Cricetulus griseus: one gene and its partners. The protein of the gene in region 3 purifies or fractionates together with the protein of the main gene of each other region. This does not show direct contact. Links are inferred from orthologs where the notes say so. Each region holds a gene or a part of one and is shown on either strand. Other genes may lie near its edges.

Region 1 (4,091 bases), on a different chromosome or scaffold from region 3:
AGCCCTGCAGAGGAGGGGAGAGAGAGAGAGGGGGGATAGAGAGAGAGAGAGAGAGGGAGGGGGAGAGAGAGGGAGAGAGAGGGAGGGGGATAGAGAGAGAGATAGAGAGAGAGAGAGAGAGAGAGAGAGAGAGGGGGATAGAGAGAGAGGGAGGGGGATAGAGAGAGGGATAGAGAGATAGAGAGAGAGAGGGAGAGAGAGGGGGGATAGAGAGAGAGAGAGAGAGGGAGAGAGAGAGAGAGAGGGAGGAAGAGGGAGAGAGAGGGATAGAGAGAGGGAGAGAGAGAGGGATAGAGAGGGAGAGAGAGGAGAGAGCGGAAGAGAGAGAGAGGGATAGAGAGAGAGGGAGAGAGGGAGAGGAGAGGAAGAGAGAGAGAGGAAGAGGGAGAGAGAGAGGGATAGAGAGAGAGGGGGAGAGAGAGGGATAGAGAGAGAGGGGGGGGGATAGAGAGAGAGGGGGAGAGAGAGGGATAGAGAGAGAGAGGGAGAGGAGAGAGAGAGAGGGATGGGGAGAGAGAGATAGAGAGGGAGAGAAAGAGAGGAAGAGACAGAGAGAGAGGAGAGAGAGGGGGAGAGAGAGGGATAGAGAGAGAGAGGGGGGGAGAGAGAGGGATAGAGAGAGAGAGGGAGGGGGAGAGAGAGGGATAGAGAGAGAGGGAGAGAGGGAGAGGAGAGAGAGGGAGAGAGAGAGAGGGAGGGATAGAGAGAGGGATAGAGAGGGAGAGAAAGAGAGAGGAAGAGACAGAGAGAGAGAGAGGAGAGAGAGAGGGAGAGAGGGAGAGGAGAGAGAGAGGGAGGGGGAGAGAGAGATATAGAGAGAGAGGGAGAGAAAGAGAGGAAGAGACAGAGAGAGAGGAGAGAGGGGGAGAGAGAGGGACAGAGAGAGAGGGAGGGGGAGAGAGAGGGATAGAGAGAGAGAGAGAGAGGGAGAGGAGAGAGAGAGAGGGATGGGGAGAGAGAGAGATAGAGAGGGAGAGAAAGAGAGGAAGAGACAGAGAGAGAGGAGAGAGAGGGGGAGAGAGAGGGATAGAGAGAGAGAGGGGGGGAGAGAGAGGGATAGAGAGAGAGAGGGAGGGGGAGAGAGAGGGATAGAGAGAGAGGGAGAGAGGGAGAGGAGAGAGAGGGAGAGAGAGAGAGGGAGGGATAGAGAGAGGGATAGAGAGAGAGGGAGAGAAAGAGAGAGGAAGAGACAGAGAGAGAGAGAGGAGAGAGAGAGGGAGAGAGGGAGAGGAGAGAGAGAGGGAGGGGGAGAGAGAGATATAGAGAGAGAGGGAGAGAAAGAGAGGAAGAGACAGAGAGAGAGGAGAGAGGGGGAGAGAGAGGGACAGAGAGAGAGGGAGGGGGAGAGAGAGGGATAGAGAGAGAGGGAGAGAAAGAGAGAGGAAGAGACAGAGAGAGAGAGAGGAGAGAGAGAGAGAGAGAGGGAGGGGGAGAGAGAGGGATAGAGAGAGAGGGAGAGAAAGAGAGAGGAAGAGACAGAGAGAGAGAGGAGAGGAAGAGGGAGAGAGAGGGATAGAGAGAGAGAGAGGGAGGGAGAGGAAGAGGGAGAGGAGAGGAGAGAGAGAGGAGAAAGAGGGGGATAGAGAGGAGGGAGAGAGATGGGGAGAGAGAGGGGATAGAGAGAGGGGGGATAGAGAGAGAGGGGGAGAGAGAGAGGGAGGAACAGGGGGATAGAGAGAGAGAGGGAGGGGGAGAAAGAGAGGGGGAGAGAGGGGAGGGGAAGAGACAGAGAGAGGGGGGAGAGAGAGATGGGGAGAGAGGGAGAGACAGAGAGAGAGGAGGGAGAGAGATGGGGAGGGGGGGTGGGAGAGAGAGACAGAGAGGGGGAGACAGAGACAGAGGAGAGATAGGGAGAGAGGAGGGGGGAGGAGAGACAGAGAGGAAGAGACAGAGAGAGGGGGAGAGAGGAGAGATAGAGAGACAGGGAGAGGGGGGAGAAAGAGGAGAGGGACAGAGAGAGAGAGGGGGAGAGAGAGAGAGAGAGGGAGATATAGGGAGAGGGAGAGAGGAGAGAAGGAGAGAGGGGGACAGAGAGAGAGAGAGAGTAAAGGGAGACAGAGAGACCTCCAGCCGCAGCGGCGCACCGCCCCTTTTCGCAAAGTGGGCGTCTCCCTCCGGGCGTGTCCGTCCGTCCGTCCGTCAAGCCTCCGAACGCAGAGTGGCAGCTGGCTGAAGCCACACCCCCTTCCAGAACCCGGGAACCCGGCCCCTCCCACCTCGAGTCCCCCCAGTTCCCGCCTGCTATCCACTTTCAGCCGCACGGACGCTTTTTTCTTTCCTTCTCTTTTTTAAGAGAAACCCGGTGCCGTCTTGCGCGGGAGGAGGTTCGATGTCCGGGCGTCCGCGGCTCGGCTCAATCCGGGGTCCCCACCCCGCCCCACCCCCTCACCCCTTGACCCCCGCCCCATCCCCGGGCCACCCCGCTAGACGAGCGTGTCGGCCTCCGGGATCTCGGCTCTGTCGCACGGCCGCCCCCTCCCTGGCAGCAGCCGCCGGAGGAGGCTCGCTCGGCGTCCGCAGCGGGCCGGGCCGGCTGCGTCCCCCGTCAATTCCTCCGGCCGCGGCCCCGCCCACCCCACCCCACCCCACCCCACCCTACCCGGGAGTCCGCGCCCACGGTGGCGCCCTCAGTGGCACTCGCGGGCGAGCGCAGGGCACGCCGACTCGGCGTCCGTGCTTCGGTCGGCCAGGCCGTCGCACCGTCCGTCCTCCGCGGTCAGCTCCTCGCCCAGCACTCTACGTAGCTCTACGTAGCGCGTCTTCCGTCACCCCCTGCCCTCCCCCGTCACGTCAGCAGAGCGGAAAACCGGAGGCGGGCGAGCGAGCCCTCCGCCCGCCCGCACCGCCGCTCGCCCTCCTAAAGTGGGACCTGGGGGGAGCGGGGGCGGCGCCATCGCTCTTGGCCACACCTCCCAGGCGCTAGAGTCCTGCAGGCCCCGCCCCGTTGAGGGTGGCCACGCCCACCGTCTCTTTCCGGTCTTCTCTGGCTCCGCCTTTCTTCCTCCTCCGATCACCCCTAAAAAAAAAAAAAACAAGACTCGATGTTTCGAGAAGCTCTTGGCTCCGCCTGTTATTGAACCAGGCCCCCCCCTCCGTTGCACCCGATTATTTCCGAATCTAAGCCGCAACTTCTGGCCTCGCGGGCATTTGACAGTGACCTAAAACATGTTCGAGTATCCGGGAAAAAGAAAAAATAGAAAATAAAAAAAAAAAAAATCACAAGCCCTCGGCGCCGCCCACATCCTGCAATTCTTGGAGGACGCCCTCACCCCCACACTTGCGACGACCTCCGAAGCGAGCCGAAGCCCGCGGCCCCGCCCACGCCGGGCGGCGTTCGTGAGCCCGCCCGGTTACTAAACGGAGGCGCTGAGGGAACCGAGGATGCCCGAATCTCGCCGAAGCGTGCGGCCCCGCCTACATCCGGCCGAGTGTGGGAACCGATCTAATTCCGAACCGTGACTTGGGAACTCGGCTCTCTCCGAAGCGAGCCGAAGCCGGCGGGCCCCGCCCCCGCCGGCCTCCACGCCGTCCGCTTGAACTCCCGAGGGTGCCCGAAGGAGCCCGAAGCTGAGGGTTCCGCCTCTTTCCGAACGCCGCGCTCCAGGTCCCGCCCCCTTTCCAAGCCCTAACCCGTTTCCTCGGGACTCGGAGCCCGGGCCCCGCCTCTCTGGCTCGAAGCCCCGCCCCTTCACGTACTGGCAGCAGCTCTTTGCCCCGGGGCCTGGCAGAAGGAACGCGGCGGGCATCCTGCGGCGGCGGCGGCCTGCGCCCTGCTTCGTGTTCTGGGTTCTTTCCCTCCGGTGCCGGGTCCTCTACCGCAGCCGATCTCCGGCCGGGCCCGGATCGCGGAGCGAGCCGTGCGGGGGCGTGCTGAGCTGGGGAGGCGTGGCCCGGGCGGAGGCGGTGGCGACAGAGGGCTTCTCCGCAGCCTCCGGGGCGGCGGGCGGTTCAGGTGGGCCCGGGGTGCGGTTGTGCCGAGGCGTCGCTGGAGATCGCGGGGTGGCGGGGTGCGGGATCAGCGGCCGGAGCGTGGCCCCGGCTGGGTGGCGTAACCGCCTGTGGATCTGCTGGGGCGGAATCGGATCCACGCC
Region 2 (4,354 bases), on a different chromosome or scaffold from region 3:
CCCAGCCCCTGGAATGGGGCTGCCCACATTCAGGGTGAATCTTTCCTCTTCTGTTACATTTTTCTGGAATCTTTTCACAGACACACCCCAAAATGTGCCCCATTGGTGTCCAAAGTGTTTACTAATCCAATCAAATTGACAAATGAAATTAATCATCAAAAAACCGACCTCTAAGCCTCCTAGTGGTGCACTCTTTAAAACCCAGCACTCTGGAGGCAAAAGTAGGTGGATCTCTACTAATAACTAAATGGGCAAATGCCTCTTATCTTCCTCCCCAAATGAAACTGGAGATAATATACCTACCTGTTTTTGAGGGTGTTGTGACATAAGACACCTGGAGGAACTGGAAAAATGTAAAAGCATGGTATATGAATAGATGAGATTATTATAGTCTCTCTAGCCTATAATAAAATTAAAGGTTAACATCAGATACTTGCTATATTATAGGCAATGTGCTTAGTGCTTTACATGTATCTCATCCAATCTTCAAAACAACTTTAAGAGGTTGAATACTGTTATTATTCCCATTTTACAGACAAGAGACATTTCAGGGAAAGAAGCCTGTGATTTATCCAGTCAAGCAGTGAGCCAACCATACAAGATTCCAAAGGCCATGCTCATGAAAAGTGTATTATAGACATGGTGGAACCAGTTAGCAGTGTGTAAATGATTGACCTTGTGTAACTGTCTGATTTACATAGAGAAACAATCCAGAATCTGGAAGAGGTTGATGGATAATGACTGGTTTATAAGTTTAATGGGAGCTGGGCGTTGGTGGCGCACGCCTTTAATCCCAGCACTCGGGAGGCAGAGGCAGGCGGATCCCTGCCTCGAAAAACCAAAAAAAAATTTAATGGGAAAAAAACCACTGGGCTTTTATTCTACCTTTACTAAAGGGGAAAAACAAACAAACAAACAAAACCCAAAAAAACCCAACAGACATCCTGGTTTGGTGACTCAAATCTGTAAATTCCAGCATTTAGGAGGCAGGAGAAATCACCGCGAGTCCGGGATTGGCTAGTCTGGGCTACAGTTGAACCGGGGTGGGGTGGGGGTGGGGTAAAAAACAATTTACACTTGGTTCCTTCTCTATGTTCGGCACCGACAGGCAGAGGTTGTCAGCTCTGTGTAGCCTCAAAGGGGGACTGTTTCTATTTCCCTCTGCCTAGGTCTCCTGCTTACGCTAGGTTTTGCTAACTTCCCCACTTTCTGGCTTGTGGTCTAGGCGAGCAGAGGATCCAGACAGAGAGGCCTCTCCCCTTTCTGGTAGCCCTTAGCTTTCCTGGACAGCAGATGGGGAGAGACCATGTAAATGCCTTCCGCGCGTGGGCGCACCAGCAACGCCTCCTCTCCGCCTCCAGCGGTCTTCCCGCACAAAGTGACGGCGTTGCCCCGCCCACCTCGCGCGTCACGGCACAATTCTCGAACTACAACTTCCAGAGGGCTGAGCGTCGACGCGCGCTCACTCAGCCCAACTACATGTCCCAAGAGGCATTACGCGACCGCGCTTCCTCCCATCGCGCAAGAGCGGAACCGCATTTGCTTTCCGGCTGCTCTCTAAGTGGTCGTTGTGCTGGAGTCCTGTCCGAAGGCTTCTGCTACCCTGATTTAGGACCTGTGGTTGTGCAGGTAAGGACCCCAATTCAGTTCTGCGAGGCCTTGGCAGATTTCTGTGTTGGAACTAACTGCGACAAATACTGGACCTGGAAGTGCGGTTTAGAATCAGAGTAACTAACGTTTCTTTGCTAGCGCCTAATTTACGGTGTTTCATTTTGTTTTTCCTACTGTGGTAGCTGTTAACAGCACTGTTAGGTGAGGACGTGTAAATTCCCACCAAATGACAGCTGATGAGTTTGTTGAGGTGTTGATTGAATTAAAGTAGCTATTGGAGTTTCAGAGCTTGACATACAACTGTTTTCTTAGTCCGAACCCTGTGTGCTGTACTTTGCACACTATTCAGAGTCTAGTTTTTTTTTTGGCTGAGAGTTGGAGAGAGGGCATCTGTTATTTCTTTCCCGATAGGGTGATGGAAGGAAGACAACGCAGTAAGTTTCCTGTTAGTTACATTTTTATTATAACCTAGTCATTCATTCACTCAGTTTTCTGTTGAGGTGCACTGCTGTTCTATCTACTAGAGATAGAGTAGCAAACAAAAACACCTCTACCTTCTAATTGTGGGGAGACCCGCAAACAAAACCCAGCGAGTCGGAAGGCAATAAGAACTCCGCAGAAAAAAGATAAAGGGATGAAACCAATGGAAGATTTTGAACGATGGCCTGACTATTATAGATGACTATTAATCTGTATTTTTTAAATTATACATTACTTTTCTTTTGTTTTGTTTTGTTTTTTGAGACAGGCTGGTTTGCATTTTTAATGAGTTGTATAAACACAATAACCCAAACGAGTAGAAACATACATATAGTATAACAAAAATTAACTTTAAATTTGTATCGATATTAAAAAATCCATACCAATGTAAAATATTTAAGACTAGCAGTTGCTTTTTTGGTTTAAAAGTAGATTCAATAGCCGGGCGTTGGTGGCACACGCCTTTAATCCCAGCACTTGGGAGGCAGAGGCAGGCGGATCTCTGTGAGTTCCAGACCAGCCTGGTCTACAAGAGCGAGTGCCAGGGTAGGCTCCAAAGCTACACAGAGAAACCCTGTCTCCGAAAAAAAAAAAAAAAAAAAGGATTCAATAATCTCCCCCTTTCAGAAAGAGATCTTTCAATCTAATCTCCTTTGTTCAGCTTTTTTCCTGACCATTACAAATAACAGCTTGTAACCAACCTCCCTTAAATGATAATAAATAGCCCATCTTTTGGGAATTTGGGCATAGTTCTTTAAAATACATTGGCTGGGTGGTGGTGGCACACGCCTTTAATCCCAGCACTTGGGAGGCAGAGGCAGGCGGATCTCTGAGTTTCACACCAGCCTGATCTACAAGAGCTAGTTCTAGGACAGCCTCCAAAGCCACAGAGACACCCTGTCTCGAAAAACCGATATATATATATTGGCCGATAGCTCAGGCTTGTTATTAACTAGCTCTTACAATTTAACCCATTTCTGTTAATCTGTGTGTTGTCCCAAGGCTCATGGCTTTTACCCCTCCCCATTTTGTGTGTCTAACTCATTGTGCTTCTGGCTCCTTGTGACTCCTCTGACTCTGCCCTTCCTATTCCTATAGATATATAGATATAGATAGATATAGATTCAACCAATATATATATATATATATATATATATATATATATATATATATAGCAATATATATATATATATGTTGAATCTAGCAGTTTTCATAATCCAGTGTCTCTTAAGGAGGCAAAAAATTCAAAGACAACACAATAACCGACTGTCTTGTATTTTCTTTTTTAAAAAAATTTTTTTTGGTTAAAGGCATGTGCCACCATCGCCCAGCATGTTTAGCACCTTTTTAAAGAAGCTTTTTCAGGCTTTATGTGAATGTAAGTGACCCTAGATGTTTGTGCCATTTGTTGGCAGAAGTTTTTGTCCCATCAGCAGCTCCCAAATAAACACAAAGAAGCTTAATATTAATTATAAATGCTTGGCCGATAGCTCAGGCTTGTTACTAACTAGATCTTACAACTTAACCCATTTCTGTTAATCTGTGTGCTGTCCCAAGGCTCATGGCTTTTACCCCTACCCCATTTTGTGTGTCTAACTCATTGTGCTTCTGGCTCCTTGTGACTCCTCTGACTCTGCCCTTCCTATTCCCAGCATTCTCCCTTATTAACAATGAGAATAATACATATTTACAGTGTGCAAAGATTGTTGCATAGCAATGGCCTTATGTAATGATTTAATCTAATGTTTAATTTGGGTTCTAGGCACAGCAGCTATACAGAAAAAATGAGTGAGGAATCCAATGATGACAAGAAGCCAACAACTAAATTTGAACTAGAGCGAGAAACAGAGCTTCGATTTGAGGTGGAAGCATCTCAGTCAGTTCAACTGGAATTGTTGGCTGGCATGGCAGAGATCTTTGGCACAGAGCTTACCAGAAACAAGAAATTCACCTTTGATGCTGGTGCCAAGGTGGCTGTTTTCACTTGGCATGGCTGTTCTCTGCAACTGAGTGGCCGGACCGAGGTGGCTTATGTCTCTAAGGACACCCCTATGTTGCTTTACCTCAACACTCATACAGCCTTGGAGCAGATGCGGAGGCAGGCAGAAAAGGAAGAAGAGAGAGGCCCCCGAGTGATGGTAGTGGGTCCTACTGATGTGGGCAAGTCCACAGTGTGTCGACTGCTACTCAACTATGCAGTGCGTTTGGGCCGCCGCCCTACCTATGTGGAGCTGGATGTGGGTCAGGGCTCTGTGTCCATCCC
Region 3 (3,559 bases):
ATGATGGAGTCCAGACTAAACCCCAAACGTGCAATAATAGAATCTCCACATTTTATACTGTTACCATACAGGTTTCAGACCAGCCTTGCCATGATTCAGTCTTTAAATCCAAGATTCAGTCAAGCCTGGTTGGCACAGGCCTGTAATGCCAACTACTCCAGAACTGAGATAGTGGGAGAGGGTGGAAGGGGAGAAGGGAGTGGGGAAAAAATGTATAGCTCGATTTTCTTAAAAAATGGCAAAAAAAGAAAGAAAATGAGGCAGAAGAATTGGCAAATTCAAGTCCAGCCTGGGCAACTCAGAAAGACCCTTTCTCAAAAGAGGAGGAGTGGGGAGAGATATGCCCCGTGGTAGAGCACTTGAGCACTTGCCCTTGCTTGTGGCCCTAGGTAATCCCCAGAACAGCAATAAATGAATTAGTCAAAGATTCAGTCCCAGTGTACAAGGATGTATGTTCATTTGTGTGTAGGAAGACCAATGTGAACAGCTTGGGTTCTGATGAGCCAAGGTGAAGCAGACACCAGTCTTTCTGGGTGCAAAAGGCAGTTTGCCTGCTGGATTGTATGAGACATAACAGTTTGTGCACCCTGATATATCCAGGCATCTAAGCACACAGGTGAGGAACACATCCAGCAATGTCCTGATACAGCCTTGTTGTCTTCATGGTCTTTGTACCTTGGCAAGTGCTCAGTTCTTTGAGTATAGAAATGTAATGTGATACTATATTCTGAAGGGGGATTTATTTCAGTGTGTGTGTGGTGACGGCTAATCTTAAATGTCAACTTGACACACGTGGGAAGAAACCATGGTTCATTGCTTCTGTCAGATTGGTCTACAGGACATTTTCTCAACTAATTGATGGAGGAGGGCCTAGACCACTGTGGGTGGTACCATCCCTAGGCAGGTGGGCCTGAGCTGTATATAATTCAAATAAATAAAAGACCCAGAGACAGATACTGGGATTCAAGCTGAAGACCAGGAAAACAAAACAACCGGCCACTAGCTCTCACCTCTAGCTCAGGCTGAAAGGGCTGATGCACGCACAAGCTCTTCAAGTCTCAAACTGTTGCCTCTCCTCAGTGTGGCTGCCTCTCCTCAGTGTGGCTGGAGAACAAATGCCTCCTTCTGAATCCTTGCTCCTATCTTGTTACCCCTCTAGTGCTTCAATTAAAGGTGTGAGCTATAATTCTCTTTTAGACTGATTCAGTCTTGTGTAGATCTAGGTGGCCTTGGACTCACTGAGATCCATCTATCTCTTAATCCTGAGTCCTAGGATTAAAGGTGTGTACTACCACTGCCTAGTTTCTGGATGCTGGGATTAAAGGTGTGTATCACCACTACCTGATCTCTATAGCTTGAGACTGACTTTGCTTTTCTGAATCCTCAGTCAAGCTTTAATAAATCATAAATAATATATCACTACAGCTGTATAAGAAAGCTTGCTGACCATGAGCTAGAGAGTGAGTTGGTAAACAAAGTTCCTCCAAGGCCTTTGCTTCCATCCCTGCCTCCAGGTCCTGCCTGGAGTTCCTGCCCCAGGTTCCCTCATGGTGCCTTTAAGTTCTAAGTTTTGAAATAAACCCTTTCCTCCCCAAGTTGCTTTTGTTCAGTGTTTCATCACAACAGAAAGCAAGCTGTATATAAGGCAAACCATTTCTTTTTATGTCCAATGATGTTCGTGGATACCATGAAAAGTATTGATTGACATTTGCTTTCCAATACTAAACAAAGGATCTTATGAAAGGAGTATCGGTAACGAACTGTGAAAATAAGATAAAATGGACACCAGTAAAAGTCAATATTTTCTCTGCCTTATTTACCAGGGTCTCTTGGTTTTAAATTACATAAGTTTTCACACTTTGTTAAATGGGGGTTAATTTTTTCAAAGTAAGCAAATGATACCAAAGGGCCAGTGACACATCCATGTTGCTGGACAGTTAGATGTAGGAGAATGTGAAGGAGGTAAGCTCTGCCTGTAATCCACCCTTCAGGAAAACTCCACATCTTGGTGGGCCATCATGTAGACTTTTTTGGTCATTTTGTTGTCTTGGAGTCGAGACGGTGTGTTGTTGACGGTGTTCCTGTGGGCAGGTATCAGCATCGAGTGGAATGGGCCATGGATTTCATGCGTAGGCAAGGCCAGGAGGAGAGCACTGTGCAAAAGATCTTGACAGACTACACAGAGCCACTTGAGCTCCCTTGCAGAAAAGGGAAAGAAGAGGTCCCTCAGCATGACCCGCTCAACTCTGAGGCCAACTCCACCCTAGAAGGCAGAGTGGGAAAGGACGAACTCTCTGTTACCACTGGAGGTGCTGGACAGTCAGATGACTTGCAGGGTCTCAACACACACTCAGACTGCCTGCAAGAGGGGCCTGGCCAAGCCACACTCACCGTGGCTAGTCCATCTAGCTTTAATGGACATGTGATAGAAGACACCACAGTTCTGCCCCAGGTCCCCTGCCGTATTGCTCAGGATGGCCTTTGGCCTGAAGACAGCAGCCAGGCAGCAGGAGAGAAAAGGGCTGCTCATGAGTATGTACTCGTAGAGGAAGAGCTGTGTGATGTCCAAGAGGAAGACGAGGCCCCAGATGAGAAGGTATGTAGAACAAAGTACCATGCCCCTCATCTGGGCTTCAGTTACAGTCAACCACAGTCTGAGAACGTTGCTGTTTGTCTTGGCTTTTTAAAGAGAGACCACATCCATTACTGCTCTCACCACAGTGTTAGGATCCCTTTCCTTTACTGTTAGTCACTGTTGTTAGTCTCTAACTAATGCAGACTTTGCCGTGGCTGGATGTGGATAGGAAAAATATAACAATGGGGTTAGTGCTACCCATGGTTGTAGGTATCCATCAGGACTCTTGGGGTATGTCCCCTGGAGATTCGAAGGCTGTCAGTCATTTCTCCAGAGCTACCTGCTGCTGGCCAGCAGAAGATATCAGCCCACCCAGGTGCCCTTCACTTGCCGTGGGGCAGGCCTGTGATGACACTGGGCCTGTATGGTGCTTCTGAGGCCACCACTGAAGCATATAGTTCAGTTGCTCAGCAGTTGAAGACAGTTTCCACTAAAATTCAAATTTAAAAAAAATTTAAAGTAAGTTAAAACAAGTAATCCTCTGTGTCTTGTTTGGGAGAAGAAAGGCAGTGTAATTGCCTGATGTCGGGTACAGCTAAGAGAATGAAGATTCTGACACCGAAGAACAGGTCTTGTACAGCTTGTGAGTGGGAGACACTGCGTTTAACAATGGAGTATCACATCATTGGGAAAAAGCCCATGGGATAGTGTTAGCAGCAGAAAAATCAGAGCATCTTTTCCCACGAAGGTTATTTTACTCAGTAGCATGTTAGCATTGGGCTTATCAAAAAAATGTTCATTTGGGGATTCAGTCTTCATGACAGGCGGTATTCACCTGTGTCCCAGGTGACTGGTTCTCTTCCTTCCTTTCTTTGTAGTTGCTGCAAAGAAAGAGACTGGTGTGCAGAAGAAATCCATACAGGATCTTTGAGTATCTACAGCTCAGCCTAGAAGAGGTATGTATGCATCTTGCTGGCTGTCTCA

Evidence for each region. Proteins that work in one complex are often made in the same cells at the same time.
Region 1: the proteins of Tsen2 (region 3) and Tsen34 purify together in Homo sapiens (affinity purification with mass spectrometry; 3 studies listed by BioGRID and IntAct, counting the BioPlex papers as one, with this or other methods). This does not show direct contact. The link is inferred for Cricetulus griseus from reciprocal best matches to the Homo sapiens genes TSEN2 and TSEN34.
Region 2: the proteins of Tsen2 (region 3) and Clp1 purify together in Homo sapiens (affinity purification with mass spectrometry; 3 studies listed by BioGRID and IntAct, counting the BioPlex papers as one, with this or other methods). This does not show direct contact. The link is inferred for Cricetulus griseus from reciprocal best matches to the Homo sapiens genes TSEN2 and CLP1.

What each region holds. Positions count from the first base shown.
Region 1 is NC_048602.1:21,616,790-21,620,880, reverse strand, and holds the start of Tsen34 (tRNA-splicing endonuclease subunit Sen34), read right to left. Parts: upstream 2,852-4,091; 5' UTR 2,600-2,851; intron 2,207-2,599; exon of another isoform or gene 2,065-2,206; intron 1-2,064. UniProt on the Homo sapiens protein: Constitutes one of the two catalytic subunit of the tRNA-splicing endonuclease complex, a complex responsible for identification and cleavage of the splice sites in pre-tRNA. It cleaves pre-tRNA at the 5'- and 3'-splice sites to release the intron.
Region 2 is NC_048599.1:90,801,116-90,805,469, forward strand, and holds the start of Clp1 (polyribonucleotide 5'-hydroxyl-kinase Clp1), read left to right. Parts: upstream 1-1,503; 5' UTR 1,504-1,629; intron 1,630-3,853; 5' UTR 3,854-3,875; coding exon 3,876-4,354. UniProt on the Homo sapiens protein: Polynucleotide kinase that can phosphorylate the 5'-hydroxyl groups of double-stranded RNA (dsRNA), single-stranded RNA (ssRNA), double-stranded DNA (dsDNA) and double-stranded DNA:RNA hybrids. dsRNA is phosphorylated more efficiently than dsDNA, and the RNA component of a DNA:RNA hybrid is phosphorylated more efficiently than the DNA component.
Region 3 is NC_048601.1:29,280,071-29,283,629, reverse strand, and holds part of Tsen2 (tRNA-splicing endonuclease subunit Sen2), read left to right. Parts: intron 1-2,091; coding exon 2,092-2,596; intron 2,597-3,453; coding exon 3,454-3,531; intron 3,532-3,559.